Linked DNA regions of Struthio camelus. The protein of the gene in region 2 purifies or fractionates together with the protein of the main gene of each other region. This does not show direct contact. Links are inferred from orthologs where the notes say so. Each region holds a gene or a part of one and is shown on either strand. Other genes may lie near its edges.

Evidence for each region.
Region 1: the proteins of RETREG1 (region 2) and MAP1LC3A purify together in Homo sapiens (affinity purification with western blotting; 3 studies listed by BioGRID and IntAct, with this or other methods). This does not show direct contact. The link is inferred for Struthio camelus from reciprocal best matches to the Homo sapiens genes RETREG1 and MAP1LC3A.

Annotation. Positions count from the first base shown.
Region 1 is NC_090959.1:3,829,237-3,833,148, reverse strand, and holds the start of MAP1LC3A (microtubule-associated proteins 1A/1B light chain 3A), read right to left. Parts: upstream 2,853-3,912; 5' UTR 2,712-2,852; coding exon 2,672-2,711; intron 1-2,671. UniProt on the Homo sapiens protein: Ubiquitin-like modifier involved in formation of autophagosomal vacuoles (autophagosomes). While LC3s are involved in elongation of the phagophore membrane, the GABARAP/GATE-16 subfamily is essential for a later stage in autophagosome maturation.
Region 2 is NC_090943.1:83,882,456-83,886,367, forward strand, and holds the start of RETREG1 (reticulophagy regulator 1), read right to left. Parts: upstream 2,384-3,912; 5' UTR 2,192-2,383; coding exon 2,157-2,191; intron 1-2,156. UniProt on the Homo sapiens protein: Endoplasmic reticulum (ER)-anchored autophagy regulator which mediates ER delivery into lysosomes through sequestration into autophagosomes.

The DNA.
Region 1 (3,912 bases), on a different chromosome or scaffold from region 2:
TTAGAACAGACCCCACAGCAAGCAGAGCAACAAGCAGAAGAAAATCATAGAAAAATAAATCTCAGTCTCTAATATACAAGAAGGGGGAAACAGGCATTGAGGAAAGTGGAATCTTCAGGAATGGGCGGCAAAACAAGACCAAGATCCAAGCAAGCCATTTGCCATGCAACTGGAGCCAGAACAGTTTTTGTAAACAGTCATACTCCTGACTCTGCCTTTTCTCCGTTTTTTTGGAACTGTTCCACTTCTGTAGTTTTGAAGCCTTAAAAATTAAGCCATTCTGAATATACAGTGTAGCTGGAGGTATTTTCCATCAGTTCTCTCCAACTGCATTGTAAACAATCACTTCCTGCTCCTGTTGTGTAATGATTTGAAGACGAAAACAAGATGTATTTACTTTCTCCAGCCGAGCAATTCCAGCCCTGACCCAAAGCAACTGCGTGGGCTGCCAGGCCTCTGCCGCCTCCTCCTTCCCCTCCCCCTGGGAGAATTCTGCAAACCAGTCAGCTGAGAGAGCAAAAGGGCAGAGGAAAGTACACAGAAACAAGGAGCACTTGCAGTTGCCAGCACCAAACTCCCTCATCCCCCACCCTGTCCCTTCTGAGCTATTTTAATCCTGCTTGCTTTCACCTCCTCTGAGCCTTGGATTTTGTTTTCCTTTGGCTTGTAGAAAAGCTGAGCAATTTGCAAAGGGGAAACCAAACTCTGGCCATAAGAAGCTGGCTCTCACCAGTTTAAGAGTAAGTAGCTGCTAAGGGTTTAATTCAGAACTTTATTGGCTTTTAATATACAGCTTAAGAAAATACAAGATACAGCAGGGACCCAAAAAAGTATCCCAGGGTACCCAGAGTTCATGTTATTCCTGTTTGTGCACATTTGCTTGGATTGGTTGCTGCAGCATGGGAAGGCTGGGGAAGTGTTTTAAGGCCAGAAGGGTCGTGATAATAAATTAACAAATATTTACAGTTTCCAAGAGTGCAGCAAGGGGTTGGATCCACAGTTCAGTAGGAAAAAACTCCAATTTTTAAATTCACAGAGAAAACACCCTCACCTTTGTTTGGGCAGTATCTGACACAGAAGGCGGCCTTATTTGGCCTGAAGACATTGACTTTGGCATTATTCAGACAGCAATGCTCAACTGATACTCCCCTCCCACCCCTCAGAATTAATCCAACAGAAACATGCATGTTTCCCAATGCCAGCTGGAAAAGGTCAAGGGAAACAGAAGTCCACGTTCATCTGATTTCACTATCAAGTTTGGCAATCAAAGCTGGTACCATTTACGGAAACCTTTTTGTCATTTGAGTTTTCCCACGAAGTACACTTCAACACAGTAATGGGTATGGTCTCAGCATTTGAGTTTTCTTAAGACTCAGAAAATTTAAGAGGTGTATCAAGCCCTCGGAACAATAACGACTCTAACGCTAACCGGATAGGGAACAGGGAGAGTAATTTCTGAAGAGATTACTGTTCTCTGACAGTCACAAGTTTAAAGACAGGACCCAGGGCAAACATGAAACAAGAACATTTAGCTTTTGACTACTACTCTTTTCTGTAGACTTTAAAGCCCATTCTAAAACGGTCGTTAGTTACCCCACTTCTTCCAATGGAGACACAAAAAAAGTCACACAGGAGGCTGATGACTCAGCCAGGTGCAAAAGACACATTTCTTGCCCTCACTTACAGCAGCTACCCTTGGGATGACGCTTACTCTGGAGCAATGTATTATTTCATGCTTTAAACATGGGGGCTTATTCAGCAAGTATCTCCCTAGTCAAGTACAACAACAAAAGGTGATATAAGACAAGGATACGAATATTTTGATAAAAAGCAACAGCATTTATCCTTTGGAGGCTAGCTATTCAGAATGACATATGTTCAGAAGGGCCTATAAAAAGTAAGTAGGCGATTTGGTTACCTTCCCGGGTTCATAACCGCATTCCTGCGGCAGACACTACATGCGTGTCATTATAAATACATCCCGGTCGTTTACGTACGCGGCTGTGCGTTCAGCGCACAAGCATCTCGCACGGGACTTCGCAAGCCCGGCCCCAAAGGCTTTGCTGACACACAAGCAGCAAGGCTCCCCCAGGCCTCCGAGGCCAGTCGGATGCCACCGTTACAGCTCAGACCTACCTGCGCGCTACAGTCCCCCAGCTCAGAGCAGCTCTGGCGCCCGCGCCCCTGGCTACGGCACGGATGTCACAGGTCCCCAGGGCGCTTATTACTTCTGCACTTGAACGCTCCCGGCGCTCGCACAGGCCTGAGCTCAGGGGCTCCCTCCTCCTCGTCCCCCCCCCGCGGTGACTGCTAAGGGCACGGACACACGACCCGCTCGTGTCGCCTCCGAGCCGCGCTCCGGTTTCCCGTGCGCAGGCACCGGGAACGCCCAGGCCGAGGCTCCAGCTCCTTCCCGCGAAGCGGGCTTGGAGGGCCGGCGGCCCGTCAAAAAGCAGCCGTTAAAGCCAACGGCCGCCGCCGCCCCCCCGGCTCCCGGCCGGCATTACATCAGCGCGCGGCTGCGGCGCCGCCGGCCGCCGCCCCCCGCAGGGCCGCGGGGCAGCCTCCGGCTCCGGCTGCTCGGGGGCTGCGGCCGGCGCCCGCCGCGGAGGGAGGGGAGGGGAGGGGAGGGGAGCCCGAGCCCGGCCGCGGCCCCCCGGCCCCGGCTCACCGAAGGTGCGGCGCTGTTTGAAGGGCCGGTCCGAGGGCATGGCGGCGGCGGCGGCGTCTGGCGCGCGGCGGCGGCCCGGCCTGCGCTCGAGCGGGAGCCGCAGCCGGCCGGGTGACGTCACCACAACGCTCCTTAAAGGGGAGGCGCGAAGAGGCGGTGTTTGGCCGACAGCGGCCGGCCCCCGCCCGGGCGGGGGCGGGGCCGCGGGAAGATGGCCGCCGCGTCGGGGGTGGGGTCACGAGGACGGGCAGGCGCCTCCGCGCGGAAGGGAAGAGGCTGAGGGGAGAGGAGCGCCCGACCGCTAGCAGGCCGGACGTCGTCCTTTCCTTCTGTTTTCCCCCTAATTACCTTCAGGTGATGGAGGCCCTTTCCCCACGCGGCTTTCCAGCGCTCACGCTCGCCGCAGAGGTTGGAGGCGGCTTCCGCCCCTCGCAGAAGGAATTTTCCCCTCTGAATCAGCACACAGCTGCCGCAGTGGCTCCTAGCTCTATAAATAGCACCGGTGCTCTGCAGCTGACAGGAAGGCCGTGCCCCGCCGACAGCGAGCAGGCAGCCCGCGGGCCTCGCTCCGGCCGGCTCCCGGGGAGCGGGGCGAGCGCCAGGCCCGGCACGTCCAGGCAGTCTCGAAGATCCCGTCTCAAGTATATCCCAAACGGTACTGTCGGTTCCGGCAGCGAGGCTGGAGGCAGGCGGATCACCGCGCGGCCAGGCGCGCAGGCCGCATCCGTGACCCTCCGCAGTAAACCAGGCTTACCTGTACCGCTCGGATACTTGCCATACACGCGGCTGCCTCCATCGTTTCTCGCCTAACGAGCCTCTCAGTCTCTTCCGTCTTGCGTTTAAAGCAGCTTCTATGCTGAATGTTTTAAAGCCCACAGCACAACTACAAGTAGGGCAGGCTATTTCTAGAGCTACCGTAAATAAAATAAAAAACAACAGAAATAGAATGACAACGTTGCACAAGGAGCCGTGTTTAATGTTCCTCCAGATGGGCTGCGACAAAAGCTGGACTATGCTGATGCAACGCTTCAGTGAATCAGCATGGAACCTGGGCGACCTCAAAACGTTAATGGATACGTACGCGTTTGGTAAAAGGAGACATGAAAGTTCGCATCTATTTAAAAAAAAACAAACAAACCGACCAACTGCTCCAATTATTAAAAGTGTCGCCAATTAAAAGGAAAAGTTAACTAGACTCTAACATTTTTTCCCCCTTGTAGAGTTTATCCCAAAGGGAAATA
Region 2 (3,912 bases):
GCTCCCCAAAATAACCTATTATCTGTGCATTTACATTCCAATCTCTCCTTTAGCAAAACTTTAAAATGAACTGCTCCAGTATTGTTCCCATATTGCTCTAGTACAGTTCCCAGAGCTCCTCCTTCTATTCCCTTCCGCGTAGCTTGCATGAAAATATTTTGACCTCCTCCAAATCTCATTAGCACTTACGTAAGAATGTTCTCAAGTTCTGTCCTATTTGCTACCAATGAGACAAAAAGGCAAACTCAATCCGGAAAAATCTGAACTTTTTGACTGGACTACTTCCTCAAAACTTTTTGCTCAATAGGAAAGGCACAAAAGGATTAGGGACTAGGATCAGGGCCAATTAATTTAATGGGAGTTTCAGAAATGACAAACAGCAACAGCAGGCCCTCTTATGCCGTTTTGAGTTACTGCTTTAGAAGCATTTACCCTTTTTTGATTAATAAAAAGGCTCTGATGTATAAAATAAGAAGTCTTAGAGGTTTGGGCTTGCAGTGTTACCTTTATTCAATTGGCAAAGCTTGTTACAAGTCTTTATAAAGACAGACATGTGAACAAAGGAATTTAGGCATTAGGAAGCTCATGCCTTTTGCATGGCAATTTAATTACTTTTGCATGCTAGTAAACAGCACGTTAATTTTATTTCAAAATCCAAATTATGGTATTATTTTCCACAGCTGGTAAGACTTTTTTTCCATCTTGTATTTGATTAAAGAAAATCTCATTTCCACAGAAAGGCATATCCTTTATACATTTGATTCAAAAGAAAAAAAAATCGATTATAATGAGAAATCTCTTTTTTAATGCATCACACATACCACTGTTTTTCTGTGCTGAAAAATATGCAGTTTAACAAACAGGAGTTCCTGCTAAACAGTTGATCATGGAAAGCAATTACCAGTTCAGTGGCTATCAATAACCAATCAATATTCCGTTAGAAAAAAAAAGTGTCACCTACTGCTCAAATTACTTCTAATCTATCATATAAAGGCCATCATTTAAAGTCCCAGTAAATACCCAGGAAATGTGTAGGTGAACCCCACCCATGCAGAGACCCAGTTATGCCACTGGGGACCCATTCACCCACACATATCCAACTAGGTGATCGTGTCTGAACATACTGACCTACAAGAGACAACCAGAAAAGTGTTTTCTGTACTTCTTACAACAACACACTGATACGCCCACTGGAAAAACATCCACCTCAGACAAATTTAAATGTAACTAGAAGAATTCAAATGCCAAGCCATAACCAAATGTTAACTTCTGATTCTTGTAATTTTTTAAATTTGCCTGTATACACTGGCATTTCTGTGTGTGTATTCGTTTGTTTTTAAATTAACCTCTGAGCTTCCACATACACGACAATCTTCTGTTCCATAAAGCAGAGGTTTTGTAAAATCAAGTATTTCCTTAACACGTTGTGGAGCCAACTTATGAATTAGTATCGAAACAGTGAAAATCTTAAATATGGGAAGACATTTGGACTTTAAGAAACCCAAACTATAAACTCTGCCATAGACAAACATCAGTAACATCTGCTTTTAAAATATATATGTACTTAAATTTAATTAGTGCATTTATTTCCACAGGAATGTGCTGTTTGAGAAAACATATAAGAACACATTTGAGAAAAACCTTACTTCTTAAATTGCTGTTAAGTTTTAGATCCAGCCACTTTCTTCTTTTCCTGTCTGCTGTTTTTATAAGCGAATTAAGATAAAAAATACACATGAAGAAGACAGGCATACTTCAGAGGGACAGTAATGACTTTTGGATCCTTCATTATGTGGCTCCACATAAGTTTTTTGTCTCTCTGACATTTTGAGGCTTGTAAGGTGTCTCCTGTTCAGGAAAAGTTACTTGGTAGAAATCATCCAGGATTTCGTCCTGTTCAGCTTTATTTTAAAAATTGTGTAAGAGCTGTACAGCTTCATCTCTAAGCAGACATTAAGGTCTAACACTTCTCTGATCTAAAAAGCCTTAGATCACTTTCAGAGGCAACCGCCCAAGAATTAGATGATCTGTTAAAATGCAGAACAAACTGATGTTAGATTCAGGATGAGAACTCAGGAGCTCGTATAGACTAATCACACAAAGCTTTGGTTTACACAGTTCTGTATGAAAAGGCCATCAGAATCAATTTACGGTACCTTTCATCTTGTCCCAGATCCTCACTGTCTGGCATTTCAGATGTTAAAAAAAAATAAAAGTATCTCTCTCTTTACCAATCTAGATGATCCAGGCAAAGATCTTCTAGTCTCTTGTGTGTTTCAGAAGCAACAACCGAGGAACCTGTTTTGTTTGCTCCCCAGAAAAGTGCTCCTTGCTCAGAAAGCAAATGTTTACAACACATCCTAAGCGTCTGCTTGTCTTGAATGAAGTTCAGAGGGTTCAGCTTTGATTGGCCGCTGCTATAAATAAACAAGTCGTGAGTCACCTCACGCACTATGACAGGGTATTTAGCAGCAAGCACGGCCAAAAGCAAAACATTTTTTCTTTCAGTCATGTGAGACAGAATCACCACACAGCTATTACATTTTATTTTTCTGCTTCCACTGGAATTCTTCCTCCACGTCTCCCATTTTGTCAGGTGTAAGTAAGTGAGCACACACCAAAATGATAGGAAGCTAGAGATCACGGGACTTTAAAGCAACACATCTGGAAAATAAGTAAGTGCTTATTGTAACTGTAAACATATCCACTTTTTACTTCCCACAAGGTGTCAGCCACAAGCTGTCAGGAGCTGAATTATGTTCCACTGACTAAATTCACACATAAAATAAAAACTTAGCAACTTTTCAAAAATACAGAATAGGAACACAAATCTCCAATGAAGACTAACTGCATTATTTGAAAGCGTCAATCCCAACCTCGTCTGCCACAAGCGGTCTCAGCTTTCTTAGGTGCGCCAGCAAATTGAACTGGCAAAGCCCTAGGCTAAACGAAAGCATGCTGATAGCAGGAGGGTTTTCGCCAAAATATTTCTACCACTTCCTTGAATAACCTATGGTGAATTGGCAAAATCAGCCTCCTACCACTGCTTGCTGCATACGTGATGGGGATCCTGCCACTTGAGCTACACCAGCCACATTTGTATTAATTTTCCACACCTTGAGCAACCTTATCTGTGCTGGTGAAGCTTGGTAGCGCAGCCCAAGACTCCAAGCACCACATACGCCATATTTTCATTATGTCCAGAGATCTTCATATAAAAATCCTTTTTTCTAGAAGGAAACCCAGCAAGATTCAGACCTGTTTCTCCTACACGAGATAGAAGGAATTGTCCTGAGAATGTCACATTTTAATCCAACAAACAAAAAACGCTGGAGCAAAAGATATGGCAGATTAAAAACAACCAGCCCAGTTTGGTAAGCTATATTTGGTGCATTGCAGGTAATACAGCATTCACTGGAAAGCTGCTTGGCTTTAAAAATTACAAATTATTCTATCTCTTTTTCTTATTTTAATATAAAACACTTTCAAATGAAAAGATCTAGATTAAAATTGCCAAAATTACCCATACACCATAATCATAGATTTATTACTCCAAACTGCATGGTTTACATTTACTGTGCAAGTATCTGAATCGGAAAACAATAAAAGGGTCTCAGCACATTGTGAGAAAAGGGAACAAAAAAGGAAGGTTGGGCATCTGCAGAAAGATGACTTCTCTTCTTCTCCCAATATGCCAGCTGGTTCTTTTTTCATCCTATTCAATCTTCCATATCCCATGTCTCTCCTGTAATAGTTTATTCATGTTTTTCTTCTTCCTCCTTTCTGTTCTCCTCAAGTCCAGTATGATTAAATCCTTATGCGTAAATTATGCATGGCAATATATGTGTATATATATACACACACACAAACACAGGACATGTGCGTGCGTGCACACGCAACAGTGAGACTGCT